Schizosaccharomyces pombe: one gene and its partners. The gene in region 2 interacts genetically with the main gene of each other region. Each region holds a gene or a part of one and is shown on either strand. Other genes may lie near its edges.

What was found. Genes that interact genetically often act in the same process or in processes that back each other up.
Region 1: mutations in tfs1 (region 2) and sgf29 together harm fitness less than expected from each alone (positive genetic interaction), as found in Schizosaccharomyces pombe (2 studies listed by BioGRID).
Region 3: of tfs1 (region 2) and prz1, extra expression of one rescues a mutant of the other (dosage rescue), as found in Schizosaccharomyces pombe (2 studies listed by BioGRID, with this or other methods).

What each region holds. Positions count from the first base shown.
Region 1 is NC_003423.3:2,417,064-2,422,953, forward strand, and holds sgf29 (SAGA complex subunit Sgf29), read right to left. Parts: upstream 2,983-5,890; 5' UTR 2,919-2,982; coding exon 2,470-2,918; exon of another isoform or gene 2,369-2,469; coding exon 2,083-2,368; 3' UTR 1,675-2,082; downstream 1-1,674. Other genes in the region: pvg3 (galactosylxylosylprotein 3-beta-galactosyltransferase Pvg1), read right to left, coding at 103-1,239; BAR adaptor protein Hob1, read right to left, coding at 3,727-3,795, 3,864-5,195; cysteine desulfurase Nfs1, read left to right, coding at 5,697-5,890. UniProt on the Schizosaccharomyces pombe protein: Chromatin reader component of the transcription coactivator SAGA complex. SAGA acts as a general cofactor required for essentially all RNA polymerase II transcription.
Region 2 is NC_003424.3:2,114,413-2,118,178, reverse strand, and holds tfs1 (general transcription elongation factor TFIIS), read left to right. Parts: upstream 1-1,722; 5' UTR 1,723-1,797; coding exon 1,798-1,866; intron 1,867-1,923; coding exon 1,924-1,986; intron 1,987-2,161; coding exon 2,162-2,841; intron 2,842-2,904; coding exon 2,905-2,929; intron 2,930-2,978; coding exon 2,979-3,023; 3' UTR 3,024-3,266; downstream 3,267-3,766. Other genes in the region: ATP-dependent 3'-5'-directionality DNA helicase fml2, read right to left, coding at 1-1,310; protein dsc3, read right to left, coding at 3,416-3,766. UniProt on the Schizosaccharomyces pombe protein: Necessary for efficient RNA polymerase II transcription elongation past template-encoded arresting sites.
Region 3 is NC_003424.3:785,104-792,798, reverse strand, and holds prz1 (calcineurin-responsive transcription factor Prz1), read left to right. Parts: upstream 1-2,886; 5' UTR 2,887-3,634; coding exon 3,635-5,680; 3' UTR 5,681-6,021; downstream 6,022-7,695. Other genes in the region: mta1 (S-methyl-5-thioadenosine phosphorylase), read left to right, coding at 1-110; SPOM_SPAC16C9.01C (carbohydrate kinase), read left to right, coding at 631-670, 708-785, 948-1,915; smp3 (alpha-1,2-mannosyltransferase), read left to right, coding at 6,236-6,359, 6,400-6,525, 6,570-6,638, 6,737-6,903, 6,944-7,101, 7,167-7,695. UniProt on the Schizosaccharomyces pombe protein: Involved in the regulation of calcium ion homeostasis. Binds to the calcineurin-dependent response element. Transcriptionally regulates pmc1.

The DNA.
Region 1 (5,890 bases), on a different chromosome or scaffold from region 2:
GATATGAAACATGTGTAAACGTTACGTTACGCACGGATCAAATAAATGAAACATAAACGAAGAATAATGCATATGCAAAGAATAACGATAGAGGAGAAACGATTAAACGTCCAAAGAAGGTAAAGGAATTGTTGCCTGAAGACACGAAAGTCGTTCAGTTTCTATCAAGGCACTGCAATTGGCACGATGTTCATACATTTTTTTAAACCAATTGCTTACCGTCGACAAGAGAGGGATGCTTTTAAGCTTATGGACGGCAATGGCGTCAATGCGTAAATAGCTTTGACGATAATTAAAACCTTCGTTGGGTAAAATCAAATCATACAATGTGCATTTAGAGAATTCCGCATTTTTTACATTACCGGAAAGGTAAATGCTATAGCCGGTCTGAGCATCTTCAAACGGAATAATAATATTACGGCGTTTAGCCACCTCATAAGCCATATCAGGAGATACTATATAGAAGAACCCGCACATGTACGGGAAGTCACGAACAGCGGTAGGTAATTCTCTTCGTGTGCAATCCCTTCCAAAATAAAAGCGGCTTTTCCCAACGTGCTCTTTCAACATTTCAAACAGACGGGGTAAATTCAAGAAAGAATCGTCATCGGCTTTAACAATAAAATCGTAGTCATGCTTTGGCTCGCCGAGATCTTGGAATTCCTTCATACCAGGCAACTCATATGTCTTAATACTTTGATTATATATAAAACTACCATGAAACTGAGTGCTGGGCATTATAAGATTATCTGCAAGTTCAGAAAAAAGAGGAAACGGCTGGTAGCCCTCTAAAAATGTTTGGAAGTATACAATGGACTTTCCAGCATCCACATTCTCCGGAATAGGTAGTACTGCTAAGTCACCATACGTTCGCTGCTCTTCGCGAATGGTAGCTAATTCCTGCTCATTCTCAGGTAAACCAAGGATAAATCTAACATCCACAGTATCATTTACGGCAAACTCCTTAATATATTCATTATAGTCGGTACGTAAAAAGTTACGCCTATCCACGTTCTTAGCTTGACTAAAAATCCCCAAATACAGTTTGAAAGGTCTGTCGTTCGCATGGGCAAGCGATTCATTTTGCTTAATGAAGGGATCTAAAAACAAATTCTCTACGTAGGCGAGTGAATGTTCTTCGGCCTGTAGACGATTTAGTACAAGAAAAGCAAAGGAAAAAGTAGCAACACCGGCAATTAGCACGTAAAGAAAAATTTTTTTTTTAGAATTTGAAAACATAGTGAAAGAGTTTAATTAAACGAGCACGTTGCGCCAGGAGGTCAATTAGAGAGACGTGAATATTAATTGTCCCTTTGAATAAAAGAATAAAATAAAACCAAACTTAAAGATCGTTGAGAATTAAACAAAAGACTCCTTGAATATATGAGCCAGCAAACAGAATATAACTCTGAAAGGAGTATAATGTTTGGTTCTGAAAACAAAGCTGTGCTTGGTGCCATATTCACGTCCACCATAAATACGCAGTCATAATGTAACCAGAAGAGCAGCTACTCAAACCCTTAATGCCCTCATAGCGTTGGTAACTATAAATGCGTTAACTATATATACCGGGTTGCTACATTTCTTTATCTCAGAGTCCATTAACCAAAGGATTCATACATATACAATTTTTCTATTTTGTTTATTTTTATGAATAATTTAATAGGAGATACTCGTTAAATGAACTTAGTTTTAGTATTCAGTTTCCTCTATAGGTGTTTGAAATTTTTTCTAGACTGTCATGTTACTACTATTTTTTAAAATTAGATTCCTTGCAAAATGTCAAGGAAGCAAGCAGATTTGGCGTACATTAGCAATGTTAGATGTGCAACACGATAGAAGCAAGTACTTTGAATGAGCCCTTGTCTTGGCTTAAGTTATTAACATGCGTTAACGCCATTAATATATAAAATATAAGGAACAACTCAACATCACAATGAATAAAAAAAATGTTAAATCTGAGTTATGCATATTACAGATAATGTCATCAATTTTTTTAAATGCTGTGAACCTAATATCGAAGTGAATAAAAATAACCTTTAACTAATACCTCCTAAAAAATCTGAGTAAAACGTTCCAGTTTTAACCATTGTACTCTAACACCAAATGACGCTCTACCACTGTTTCTTTCCCAACTTCCTCTTCTCCTTCAAATCGAAGTTTACATGATCCATCAGGCAGAGTGCGAATGACTTCTGCCCGATAAAACGTAGTAGTTTCAGGATATCGAGCTAAAACATTTGTTTTTGGGCTTATTGGGGGTAAAGGAGTTCCTTTTGCAGGAATTTGTATAAGATGATTAGCTGTAGTTTTATAAATTTGACCTGCATTACCGTCATCATCCGGTTCTGGATCCTGCACTTCAAATCTATGGTTTTGTTAATATACTGGTAAAAAAATATTATCAACATATAAGCTTAGAAGTAAATTTGAACTCGCGACTGACAATATTTGCTTTTGAAAACTCACCTCTGTTTTGCTCCTTCTCCAGTCACTTTAATAATGATACATTGAATCCAATCACCTCCCTCGTTATGCCTCGTGTATGGTAACTTGAAAGCTACAGACATGCCAGGTGTAAAGGTTACTGTATTTGCTGTAAAGCTTGTTCCTCGGTTTCGACGACTTCTCGTCAAAGGACTATTTGTAATTACAGGTTTTTCATTGGCTTTTTCGAGTACATTAATAATCATCTCAAGAGATTGCATTGTATGCTCCAATTCTTTTTTCTGTTCTTCAGAGGTTTGAATTCCCGCGTCACACGCTTTAATTCTTTCTTCAATTGGATTATCGTCGCCATCAACCGTTTTATAACATTCTTCTTGTTTTATTAAACTAGACCGAATGGGATTTAGGCTTTCATGAAATTTAACCCACATGGATGTCACATCCTCTTCAGCATTTATGGGGCGTACCATAATATCCTGTAACTGATATTCTCAAACAACACTTTTCATCATCCAATTTCCTTTGGTAGGTGCTAACTCACTTACTAGATTGATTTGCATGATACTATCAGCTATGCAAATTACTTTATTACAAATTTCATTAACACTCGATATTGTATTTACCGTATCGTTGCTGCATTAGGTTACGTAGTTAACTATTCACTTAAGTCATGGAATACTGTCTGTTAACGAAGTTCGTTAAACGATTCTCGTTTAGCAACGACTCTAAATACTGTATGTCGTATATTTCCTGCTAGAATACATCAATTCCGATTGTTATACTGTTGAAACTACAAATCCCAAAAAATTCAATATCACAATGAAAGCTCTAGTTCGAATCATGTTTTGCTTCAATCCTAGCTAGCACTGTTAAAGTATAGATATAAGAAAGGACAGCTTTGTTGATAGACTAGTTAAATTAAAATAAAAACAGTTAAACGTAATTAATATATATAAGTTTACGTTATTCAAAACATTTCAAAAAATGTGCTACTCTTTGAAGTACACGTCAGTAAGGAAACACGTTGATAAAAAGCCAGTATTCAAACATAGACAGTGTTAAATTATCACTGGAGATGATGATGTATGGAATACATGTCTAAATTTAAGCATCATAGTTAGAACGACAAAATTGATAGAAATTGAATAGCAGTGTAAAACTTGTTGAAGCGCGCACACAAACAGTAACCTGTAACAACAAGTCCTATAATCAAGCTTCTATATTGACTTCAGTAGGCAGCGAGATTTTAAGACACATCTAGGTAAATTTAAAAACGCTTTATTCAAGCTGAACATAATTACCAGGAAATTGACCTTGTGCACCGTTAAGTCGGCCAATCCACCATTCCTAAAATATATATTAGTAAAGTCCTTGTTTAATAAGAAAAAAATGAAAATTTAAGTTTAAGTACTTACATTTTGATTATCAGTACGTGAAACAACTTCGATACGATCGCCAGCATGAAAAGATAAATCTCCGGCTGCTTGGGCAGCATAATCATATAAAGCAACAACATGCTCTGCGGCGGGAGCCGCAGCAGGTGCAGGCGCTGGTGGAGGTACGGGAACTGCGGCTGCAGCTGCTGCTACCGGTGCAGCAACAGGTGTGGTCACTGCCGCAGCAGCAGGTTGAGGCATAACTGGAGGGGGAGGAAAGGCCGCTTGAGGGTATTGAGCAGCTGCTGCTTCAGTTGTAGTAGTGGTCGTCTGAACAGTTTGATAACCTGCACTTGGGGTAGAATAATCGGAAGCTCCGGCAACCGATGGCGTTGAGTATGGGGGTGGAATATCCGTAGCTGTCGAAGAGGAGGGTTCGGCTGCTGCTTCTTCACGCTTTGACGAAAAGGAAGAAGAAGAAGAAGCAGTTGCATCTTTACCACCCGGTCCCATACCCGGTCGTTTATACGTCGGTTTAGCGGTCTTAAATTTAGTAATCGTCAAAGCCTCTGCGCGATCTTTAACATCGCCGCGTCTTCTTTCGTACGATTCCAAAATATCGGTATTGAAATCAAAGTACTGAATTTCGCAGTGACTCATCTTTTCATAAAGAACGTAATAGACATTTAATTGCATATAGTAAAATCCTTGGAATAAGGGAGCAATGAAGCTCTGAGCCAATGCAAATAGTTTAGGTAACTCCTCCTTCAGCATTTCATTATAATATTCATATTCTTGGGAAGATTGTTCAAAGGCGGTTTCAGCTTCATAAAGCTTCTTCTCATCTTTAAGGCTTTTATCCTTCTTTTCCTGAAGTTTCTTGAAAGATGAACGATGACGATCATAATCCAGCTGCTTATGATCGCGTTTCAACAAAAGCTTATCTACATCCTTAACAATCTTGAGCAGTTCACCAGTTGGATTGACAATGCGAGTGTTGATAACATCCATTTCAGAAGCCAAATTCTTTTGGAGATCGTATACAATTTCCTTGTAAGCCTCGGCAGCCTCAATACCTTCCGCATTGCCTTCTTGCTCATACGATTCAGGATCCGAAGCACGCCCACTAATAGGCTTGTAAATTTCAATACAAGCATCGGCAAATCCAATTTGATGATTCAATAACCCATTAATAGCATCAGTATACTTTTTGGCGTCTTCAGCCAGCTTTTTCGCTTCCGTTTCTAAAGACTTAAACCGTCTTCCAGCATCCTCATAAATAGGATCTTTGGTAATCTCTCCAACATTAAACTTGCTGCGTAGAGTCTGCGGCGTACGCGCAAGTGCCTTTGTAAACCCTTTCCAGCTCATCAAGTAATTCTGGTAGTTGGTATGTCTGACCCTTTCAAATTCCCTTAACCATCCTTCTCCGTATTCACGTAGCATACTTCGCAGCAATGCTGATCGTTTCCTGTAATTGTGCCGAATCGCAAATACAGTATACTACGCAACGTCTCGTTATTTTTATTTTTATTTTTATCTAGATGAGGTGAAAACATAGTAAATATAAGGCAAACATTTGATTTTAATTTGCTCGTCTCTATGCTCTTTATTACAGTTTTTATTCGATTGAACAGTGTCTCCGTCGTTTACGATGCAATGATAACATACTGATAATTGCGCAGCTCTACATGTATTGGGTCGAAGCTTAGTTTTGGTTGGTTTCAGATACGCCGCCAACCAAAATTTTTATTAGTCAGATCGCAAAATTTGAACTTAGCAACTGCCAAATTATTTTAAAAAGGACTTGTTTCTTGTTGTTTAGGAAATAAATAAAGAATTAGCAAAATTTCCTCTATTTTGGAAACAACCATGTCCAAAATGGGAAGTTTGATGCTTTCTAGAGCAAGATGCCTTCTTGAACTACGAAGTGCTTTATTTTTTGTCAAGCGAGAGAGTCAGGATATTAATAATGTTAGACAGAGTCTTGGAGTTTACGGTAGGTCGTTTATGACTTCCAGTCGTATGGACAAACCTTCAATGAGCAATAAACCTCGTGAACAAAT
Region 2 (3,766 bases):
AGGTGTTCTAAATAAAAAGCAAACGGTTTACTAGTAAACAACCAAAAGCTTTGTCCACTCCCTTTTCCTTCAGCTTTATTTTTAGTTTCCACAAGCTTTTGATAAAATTGGATAATCCCATGACAATCTAACAGATACGTTATATGAGCACATGAAATCAATAGCGTAAAGCAACTCATGATTTTTGATTTTTCTTTAGATTGTACATTTTTTGAACTAAAGGAATACTTTCGTAAAGAAACGAAAAGCGTATAAGCTTTTATATTAAGGCATTCACAATTGATAGGTATAAGTTTTTTTTGACGGAGAAAATTAAAATATGGCCGGTATAGGTTAGCAAAGTCCGATTTTAAAATATTCATTTCAGAGGAGATCGTGACCTTAATCAACTGAATCTTTTTATGAAAAACATATGAGCGAATATCTATACTTTCTTCGTTGCGAACAATGAGTTTGGAGATATGGAGGCAATCTACTACCTTTTGAACAGAGGCGGTAGAAGATCCTGGAGTTGCGGTTAAACCAAGGACTCGAAAATGACTATTAGATCTAAGCACTGCCCTCATAACCTGAGCATACGAATGGTTGCCAGTAGCTCTATGAGCTTCATCAAATATCAGGCAAATAATACTTTTGGCATCCAGTAAATGTTCCTTTAAATCATTCTGGAGTGTTTGTGGAGTCATGAAAAATACTCGTTTCGTATTGTATTCGAAAAGTCGACGATCCGGTGATACTTCACCGTTCAATTCAGCGGTAGCACCTGGTGACATTCCCGCTACATTGGAACAAGCAACTCTTTGTTGCAACAGTAATGGTTTTGTGGGGGCAAGAAATATTATTTTGCTTTCAGGAAACCAACGAAAATAGTTTAACATGACCACTGCCGCAATAAATGTCTTTCCCAACCCAGTAGGTAGAGCCAGTAATAAATTGTGGAATAATGCTTGCTCACAAAATTCCTTTTGATAATTTCTATACTGCTGAGTCTGTGGAAAAATCCAGTTTTGCATTGCATCAATATTTTTTGGAATGTCAATATTGTTTTCTAACTCAGTTATAACTTGAGGTTGAGAAGAAGGAACCCTACAGCCTCGCAAGTCTAGTTGAAACGTAGTATTTTCAACGTCTTGATTATGTTTTATACATTTCAAATTTGGTTGCCTTAAAGCAGGATTAGAATTCAACAAAGATCCTTCAACATTACAAAGCACTGAGGTAGGAACATTTCCTCGTTCTCCGTTCACCTCGATACTTGGCAGGTCTACTTCAGAGTCGGAATAGTCACTTGAGTCTCTCAGTACAATCATGAAACTAAATTTATGAAAACGAACGAACACATAGACCAAAGTAAGTTTCAAAAATAAACTGAATATCAAACTTTTAAATTCTTGAACATCAAGTTTCTTCAATTTGATCAAACAACATTATAATCTTTGCTTTTCATAAACAAAGCTGATAAAACAATTAACAATTGAGTAAGATCAAGTCAGCGGAGGAGCATGAAAATTTAACGTTGTAAAATAAACACGAGTACTAATGCGATAAACAGAAAACAGTTTGCAAACTTGAAAAAAAAACTGTCAAACTCAAGAATTCAACTAACAAAATCACGTTACGGGGTGTTGATATTCACATCAGCAACTATGGTGGTGAAGAAAAATCACAACGGTATTAGTAGACATGTGAGATGTAAAGCGCGTTATCCAAAATAAATCCTCTACCACCATAAGATTATTAATTTTGCAATCTGCTAACCAACAGCAGTGTTTACAGTATTCGAACTTAATTTGAATCATGGACTCTGCTGATATCCGATCTGCGAAAGCAGCTTTGGAAAAAGCTATTCAGGGAAAGAATATAGAGGTTTGTAATTTGTGCTATTGGGACTTACAGATGGTTTTGAAGCTAATATCAAGCTAGACTATAATTAACATTATGACACGTTTAAAAAATGAAGTAGTTGCTACCGAAGAATTACTTAAGGTAGGTTTATTACATGCAATATGGTAGTATTCTCGCACGGATTGTTGACAATATATTACATGAATTTTGCAAATTTCACTTAATAGAAATAACATCTTTCTTAAAATACGAATTCCACAAGAGTACCAACATTTGATGGAGAATCGGTATTCAAAATACTAACCAATGATGCTAGGAAACCCGGCTGGGATTAGTCGTTGGCAAGCTCAGATCTCATCCCAATGAGAAAGTTGGTGAGCAAGCTCGGGAAATTGTAAAAAAATGGAAAGCCGATGTTAGTAAAGGTCGTCCATTGAAAACCACAACTACAACTTCCTCCACGCCTTCTAAACATGCGGATGTAGGTTCTCAAGCTCAAAAACAAGTTCAAAAACAAAGCAGCAGTGGTCAGCGTACTTTTAAATCTGATAATGTGAACGTCAATGTGACTGATGACAAGATTCGCAACAACTGTATTGGATTAATGTACAATGCATTAGTCATAGATTCGGATGAATCTTCTTCATTAATAATAGCCAAAGCCAAAGAAATTGATGCGCAAGTACTTGCTAGAGCAGCAGGTAAAACTGGTTCTGAATATCGAAACAGAATGCGGTCCTTGTATATGAATCTTAAAGATAAAAATAACCCGAAACTTAGAGCATCAGTATTACGAAATGAAATTACTCCGCAAAGACTCAGTACCATGACTTCTGCCGAATTGGCTTCAGAAGACCGTCGCAAGGAAGATGCCAAGCTAGAACAAGAAAATTTATTCCATGCGCAAGGTGCTAAACCCCAAAAAGCTGTTACAGACCTTTTTACTTGTGGGAAGTGTAAGCAAAAAAAAGTTTCTTATTACCAAATGCAAACAAGGTATGTTATTTGTCATGATTTTAGTACTTTTTATCGCGTAAAATTTATTAACAATCCGTATAGATCTGCTGATGAGCCTATGACAACGGTAAGCATTAGTCTATTTGGGTAGAATATTTGGACTAATTTTTTTTTAGTTTTGTGAATGTACTGTTTGCGGAAATCGCTGGAAATTTTCTTAAATCTTGGGTCAGCCCATTTAGATACCGGTTGTAAAATAATCCTTCATATTTCTTCTTCTTTTTATTGTTTTAGAAGCACTCTCCTCTATTGTGTGTGTTTTTTTTTGTTTTAGGATCTGATTGGTATCTTTCATTCTAGCGATGAATATATGCATATTTTACTTTTGCACACTCAATACGACACTTTTACAGTTATCCTACTTTACACTTCTTAATAAATCCAAATGGTGTTTTAAACGTACATTTAATAAGTTAACGCTTGATCAAAGCGAATAGATCATAAAATTCGACATTATTAATCCTCAATTAAACTGTAGTCATAATTAACAAGTGCAACGAAAAGTGGAACGATTAATTGTATTGGACAAAAATTTTAACAAAAATGAACGGGTTTACCATCGATACGAGTGTAATAAGCCGTATGCAAAATTGCAAATAATTCCGACAAGAATGGATAATTGCATTCTCAGAGAGAACATTGTCCTTTCCCAAAGAAAATAACAAGCAATAGCTCCTCCAAAAAAGCCTATTAATACTCCAGCCAACAAGGTTTCATATGACATGTCAAGTTCGTCGGCAGAAGAGTTTTGTCCTCCATTGTCAATCCAATCGTCTTCTGCCTCTCTGATAGCGTCTTCCGTGAGTGAATCCAAATTAGTTCCTCGTAAGCGATGAAATTGGCTACGCAAATTATTGACCTCGGTTTCTGTAAAACCAGCTTCACGTAAACGATCAAAACCACG
Region 3 (7,695 bases), 1.3 Mb from region 2:
ACTTGCGAGAAAGTGTTCAAAATGGGATTCAAACAAATCACAAGCATCGTAACCCAGATGCAATTAGACGACTTCAATTTCTTTTTCCCAATCTTACCATTCCGCACTAAAGAGCAAAGCTTTGGGAAGTAACATTTGAAATTTTATAAAAGAGTAGACTTAGCTATATTGCTTGCTAATTGACTGGTCAGGACTGTTGCATTGCTAACACTTAGATTAGTTAATTTTATATTGGAAAGTGATAATTCCTTTTTGAGAATGATGAGTACTTCCTATATATCGTTAGGAAAATACAATGTTCTAAGTATGACATGTGTGCTTGATATATGGTATGTAGTAGTATGCCCATTCATCTCATACAAAAGTAAGCAAATGCAAAAGTACATTTTTTACGGATACTTAATTTTCAGCATGATTCAACACTTCCTTCATAAATATGAAATATTTTATTTAATTATTCGCCATGTTACCTTTAAATTACTATACAGAGTGCAGGATGTTTATTGATAATTACGTAGATTATCTGCAGATGTTCGCTAACTCTGACTTTTAATGCACCAACATTAAAGCAATATATGTTCTTATAATTAAGAAAAAAACAACTTACAGTAATTTTTTGGGATTAACAAAATGGATTATCCTTCGAAAGATGTGGAATTCGTCACAACTGGTAAAAACTTTCACATATAAGTGCTAACGAATGCAAGGCATGTTTATTATAGATGAAATTGAATTCGACGGCGGAAAGAAGATTAAAGATATTATTGGAGGTGCAGGATCTTTTGGTAAGTGTCTAATTCTTTTTAAAATTTTAAGCGGAGCGATTTGCGAACTTCATTGGTGAAGCATATCTGTTTATCGAAGGTTGAAATCCTCTCCCTTAGAAAAAAGATGCATTGCGTCCAATATTTTTATTATTAAAATAATAATTAACACATTATTTTCAGCATTGATTGGTGCTAGACTCTGGACGTCTGAACCCGAAAGTCAACAACTGGGAATGATTGTTGACAAAGGCTCTGATTTCCCGCAGGTGATCCTCGATGAATTAAACGATTTACATACTGGAATTGTATACAGAGAAACGCCTTGGAGAAAAACTACATATGGTTACAACCGTCTCAGGGACAATGGTTTTCGATTGTTTGAATACCTTACACCTAAAAAGCCAATTCGTGCTCCTGATCTTTTGGAAACAGGATTGATATATGCAAAAACAATTCATATTATTACAAATCCTAAAACATTTGTCTCTGTGTGTGAGGAACTGGCAAAGTATGGAAATCTAAAAAATCGTCCTAAAATCGTATGGGAGCCAACGCCTGAATCCTGTTTACCGGAAAACTGGCATATTTTACAAAAAGCCTTAAAGTATTGTGATATATTTTCTCCAAACGAGGTGGACTCTGCCAACCTTCTGGGTATAGATATTAGCGAAAGCAAATCTCGAGCCAAAGAGTTTGTATCTGCGTTTCAAGAATTCCAAATTGGGCACGATTCTCAAGGATGGGTTGTTCTTCGAAATGGGTCCGATGGTTGTTTAATTGGTGCATGCACGAGTAGTACCAACGCTACAAGCGATGCAGTTGTCCCTGTGCGAGAAATTCTTCATTTGCCAAGTGTACAAATGAAAAACGGAAGCGTTTTAGATACCACTGGGGCTGGTAATGCTTTTTGTGGAGCTGCAATCTTGGAGTATTATAGGACGGGTAATATTATAGAAGCTTGTGCTAAAGCTACTGTAGCCGCTTCGTTTGTCATTCAACAACACGGTTTGCCGGCACACACGAAAAATAGTGAAGGGATTGACTTATGGAACGGAGAATCAGTCTTTCAGAGGTTGAAAGAATACTATGAATTTTTAGCTTCTCATGAAGCTTCCGCCATCAAAGAACTTACGAAACGAGGTGTATAGGTTGCTCTTACAACACAATATAGTCATCTTTTGCTACGAAGTACAAATACTTAATAAGATTATTATACCATTTATTACAATACGCAATTTCGTTGCATTACAATTGGGATTTTCTGCATCTAGGTAATCTAATACAAGAAATGCTCTTGATATTTGCAAATATGATATATATTAGTTGACAGAACATCGGTTGAAGTATCCGATATGAACCGCTTCGTTCACAACATTCAACTAAGCCTCTGCACCAAAGAGCCTGGAACTCGTCAAAGCCGCCGTCCGTCGTATCGTGAGAGAAGATTCTTCAAAAATAATCAATAGTCAGAATTGCATGGTGGTTTGAAGTCTCTTACATATAATTTATAGTACTTTATGTTTTCAACTTAGAATTATTCCACAATTTATAAGTAGTACTACACCTTATTCTGCTTCCCCACTAATGAGTTTCGGATGGTGTTGAAAAGCTAATTTCATGAATTTCAAGCTTTGGGGTTTAATGCTTCTTGACAAGCCTACGGAAGTTCTCCATGTTGTAAGTGGTATTACATTTGGGCACGCCTTCAACTAATAACCGGCACTTTAAAGTATGTGGCTTTGCTTCCTACCCCTTAAACTAGAATATATATTTGATGTCGCTCAATAAATAAAACAAATTTTCATACATTCATGTTATTTAGCTATTTGTGCTTTGTATAAAATACATGTCTCATCACTTTACTATACACAAGTCGCCACCCTTTAGTAAGTCCAGTAAATTTTCAATAGAAAATTGGATGAATATCCTTCAAAAACCAATTTTTTTTCATTTCTGGAACTCCTTAACTGGGATCCTTTGTATATGGAAATTTATTATATTTTGTTTTTAATTTGTTTAGCAAACTGTTCTTTAGCATCCTGCTGCTTCATACTAACTTCAAGTTTAAACTGCGTGTTACTTAAAATTCGTTACCCGATCACGTCTTGTGCAATCCTTTACCACTACATCGCAGAAATATCTTGATGATTTAGCAATTCATCCGTTGTAAATATATAATCTGCTGGCCATTTATTAAACTATCATTTTTTTTTCTGTGAAAATCAAAGCGTTTAGCTGACGCTGTAGTATATTGAGGCTATTCTGTTTTTTTTCATGTCGAGTTAGCGATTTGCGCTTGTATACTTGTCTACCTAATTTTGCAATTTTTCCTAATCGTTAAAGGGTTTTCTCTTGTGCTGTCCTTTAGGTTACTTCCTCATTTCGATCTGTGAAAATCTCATTTGTCGCACTCTCTCCTCTCATTTGTATTGCTTAATGCCCTTTTTGACGTTGCTTAGCTAACAATTATATTGTACTAACCATCAATCTTCTCAGACTTTTATCCTGCGCATTATTCCAAAATACAAAATTTTGTATCAAGAAATTCTGTCGTTATCTGATCAAATCCTGTGAAGCACTGGATTAACTTTGACGACCTCAAGTCTTAATTTTTTCGTTTATTAAACGATACTTTTGGTAATTAATTATTCATTCCACTAATAAATTTCACACCCTTGGTGTTGCTGGTTTATCCAATTTATTACTACAAACCAGCTTTACTCTACTATTCGGTCAAAAAATTCACGTTATAGGCTTTTTGAAAAATAATTTGTCTAACCATTCAATTAAAGAGAGTTGGTGAGTCTTCAGACAATATTTTTGAGAGCGTACCGTTCCAAAAGTTAATTATTTGATGAATTTCATCGATGGAGCGTCAAAGGTCAGAAGAAGCGAATCGTAGATTCAAAGACTTGAATCCTTCTTCTTTATACGATAACCTTTCAAAGCCGGATCTTGGAGGCTCTAGCGAGTTGCATACGTACATGAATGACACTTCGCTTGCTGATATCCCCCTTTTTGAGGATACTCTTGCGTCTGAAGTTTCTTCTTCTTTAATTTCCAATCCTTCTAAAAATAATATTCAGCACCTCCATCCCAACACCTCCGAGCCTTTTAAAACGTCTTCAAAATCCGATGAATATGATTCTTATCCTCGAACCGGGAATGTACCTACTTTTTCATTTACAGAACTGAACGATACTTCAGTCAGTGGCTTCGGTAGTCAAGCGGTATTTGAAAACTCCGTTAGCCCTTTAAGTAATCCATCAAATAGTCCGCAAGCATTTGACTTGACTCAAGGTTCGAGTTCTACTCATAACGCCAACGACTTTACTGTTAACAATGTTGGCTCAAGACGACAATCCATTTATGAGTTTAATATTGGTATTCCGTCTTCAAATATCGATTCTTCTCAGTTCTTACCAGTTTCACGTGCAATTGCGGCTTCTGAAATTTCTCCATCTTCATCGCCTCAGCTATTAACATCCTTCCTTCCCTCAGGATCTGTTTCAAATCCGAGTTCTCCATATTTACAAGGTTCTGTTGGTGCTCTGTATGAAGCCGATGCTTTTAATTTTGTTGATGTAATGTCACAGGCATCTGGAACTGAAGTTGATTCAGAGAGATTTCCTTCTGTTGATTTTGAAGATCCATCTTTATTGATGGAGAATCAACAAAATATTACCGGAACCGGTTCTTTTGCTGACTACCTTCAACCACCTTCTTCCGGGAGCCTGGGGGCCTTTACGAACGCGTCTCCTGGTGAAAGCAACACTGGTATAGATTTTGATACGGATAATACCAATTTGAATCCTTCCGTTGATTTATTGTCTAACCATTCCACACCTTCTTTCATATTTGAGAACAGTCCTTCCGCTGAATTTTCTCACCAGTCATCCCCATATCTTGTTCCAAACTCCGGAAGGACTTTAAACAGCGAAAATGCTAGAGAATCTACTATTCGTTCTGTAAATTCTCCTTTTTCTGAGGACCATGCAGATGCCTCTTTAACAACACACGTTTTTGACCCTATTTCTCCTACCGCTTTAAGCAATTCCGTTTTGAATTATGATTCAAACAACTTTTCGGGTACCCCACAAATTAATGTAGTACCTTCATCTCCTTCCAAATCCCAATCTGGACCTAGTTTGCCAGCAAATCCTCTTCTTCAAACAGACATTAGTATCACTTATAGCCAGTCTGCATCTCCAGTATCTGGTCAACCTGCTATGAATGAAAATTCTTATGACTTACAAAACGCTAATCTTTGTGCTCCTGAAATGTCACCCACATATACGGCTCGTCATCGATCAAATAGTGCTGGCTCACGATTTGATGCTTATGAGCCCATACCTCAATTATATACTCACTTTTCACATTCTTCTGAATGTCTATCTGTTAACCAAGATACCGAACTGCTGGGAAAAATAGAGAATGATAATTCTAAGTCGAACGATTATTTGTCAGTTAGAAATACTCGTCCTCGAAGTCGATCATTGAATTCGCTAGTAGGAAACAAATCGGAAAATTCGTCTTCGTCTAAAGCAAAGTCAGAGTCTAAGTCTCAAGGAAATTACGTTTGTACATTTGCTGGTTGCAATAAGCGTTTTACTAGGGCTTATAATTTGAAAAGTCATATGAATACACATACAAATTACCGTCCCTTTCAATGTTCGATTTGTAAGAAATCATTTGCTAGACAGCATGATAAACGGAGACATGAGCAGTTACACACTGGCATTAAAGCCTTTGCATGTGTCACTTGCAATCAGAGGTTTGCTCGCATGGATGCACTTAACCGACATTATAAAAGTGAAGTTGGACAAAATTGTCTTCGCACGGCCACAGAACGAGGAATTCAAGTTCCGCCATCCAGAAAGACAGCAGTGGCCTCGACAAGCAAACAAAAATGATGTTTTAATTTCCAAAGCAAGACATTTTGCTTGCACCTGTGATTAATGGGTGTCTAACTATATTTCCTTTTGCAATGTGATGCAAGTATTTGCACAGTTTTGCATTTAGGGTTTTGTATTATTTTTTATCTTTGATGTTACGTTTGGCTTCGTTTATAGTTTATTAACTTTTTGCCCTTTTTAAAGAGAGTTGACATTGTTTATACTTAGTGATTGATTTTACCCCATCGTTGATCCAAAATACGGCTTTTAATATTAGATTTGTTTAAAATTAATTATGTTTTGGGTATTGAGTTAGATTAATTTAAAATGTAATAAGACCTGCAATTCTTCTAGTACAATTATTTTACTGAAACATTAGTTTAACGTATACTTTTTGTATGCTTCGTGTATTCTTAAACATATACCCGTCGACCAAGAGTTGTTTACATTTTCGCTTAGCAAACCTTTTTCATAACAAACATATATAGTTCGGAATATCTCGTTATATCTTCATCGTGTAATCCATTGCACACTGAAGCAATAAATCCCGTGCTTTATCCATTGAGATTAAGGATGTTTAAAAACCGTAAATATGCTATAATTTATACTTTTCTCCTAATTTTACGCTTTTGGTTTTCGCAAGGCAGCTCATACATACATCCGGATGAGCATTTACAATCGTTTCAAATATTCGCAAGTATATTACAATTCTTCAACAATTTATGACTAATATAAAGATAAATTATTTGGCTGGAAAGTGGAACTTCCATGGGAATTTACTACTAAAAAACCAATTCGGTCTGTAGTTCCTTTGAATGTGATGCTTTTACCTATTTTCTTGCTTTGCCGGTGTATTTGCAAATGTAAGTGTATTTTAAATTGAACGAAATTCTTACATATCCAAAAGCGAACTGCTCTCCGTATCCTATTTTGTTGTTCACTAGACTCTATATGTGTTTGATCTCTTTGTTAATAGGTATGTACATTGGCGAATATTAAGCTCTGATAAATTTGGAATTTATTTCAGAATTTACTACAAACCTTATTTCCTCCTTCCTTGACTAATTTTGGCAGATTTGAGTATTTGGAACATCGTACCTTTGAACGCAAGATGGAGTGCATTGCTTTTATATTCCTCATCCTTCATGGCTACTACATTTCAAACACATACTTTTACAAACTCAATTGAAACGATTTTCTTTTTTTTAACTATACTATTTCTTTCGAAGTTGAATAGTGTGGTAAGTTAATAGCTGGCAACTCTTAACTAACAAGAATCAGCCATTAAACAAGAAAATTAGTTATTTATATACATTTTTGCTTGCAATTGTTAGTGTATTAGGATTTTTCACAAGAATCACTTTTTTAGCTTTTGTGATCGCCCCCTATATCTATTTTTCTGTTCGATGTTTTAAAAAGAACGTGAACAATCCGAAAGAGTAAGTGATTTTGATTTTTAAATTGAATTAAAAATATATTATGGAATAAACACTAACTGGATTAGCATCTTTTTGCACTTATGTATTTTTGTTTCAGTTTCTTTTGCAACTGTCTTAGCATGCATCCTCGAGGACTACAAGTTTTATGGGGTGTTTGTGATAACATTTTGGAATAATTTAAAATACAATTCTCAAATCGAAAATTTGTCACAGCACGGATTGCACTCAAGATTAACACATTTTTTCACTAATATGCCACTCCTTTGTGGTCCTCTGATTTTTGTTCCAAAGCTTTGGGACGTTCGAAAACCTGCAACTTGGTTATGGCTTCTCCCCGTTTTCATACTATCCCTGTTTCCTCACCAAGAGCCCAGGTTTTTGCTACCCGCAGCCTCTATTTTTATAGTGAACTCTGGATGTCTAGTTCGTTCATATTGGATCAAATTTTTATTTGTAATGTATGCAGTTGTTTTGGCAGTTTTCTTCGGCATAATGCATCAAAATGGTGTTATCCCTGCGGTTTTGGAAGTAAAAAATATTATCGAACAGAGAAATGTAACAACCATGGAAAATTGTAATTTGTATTTTAATCCG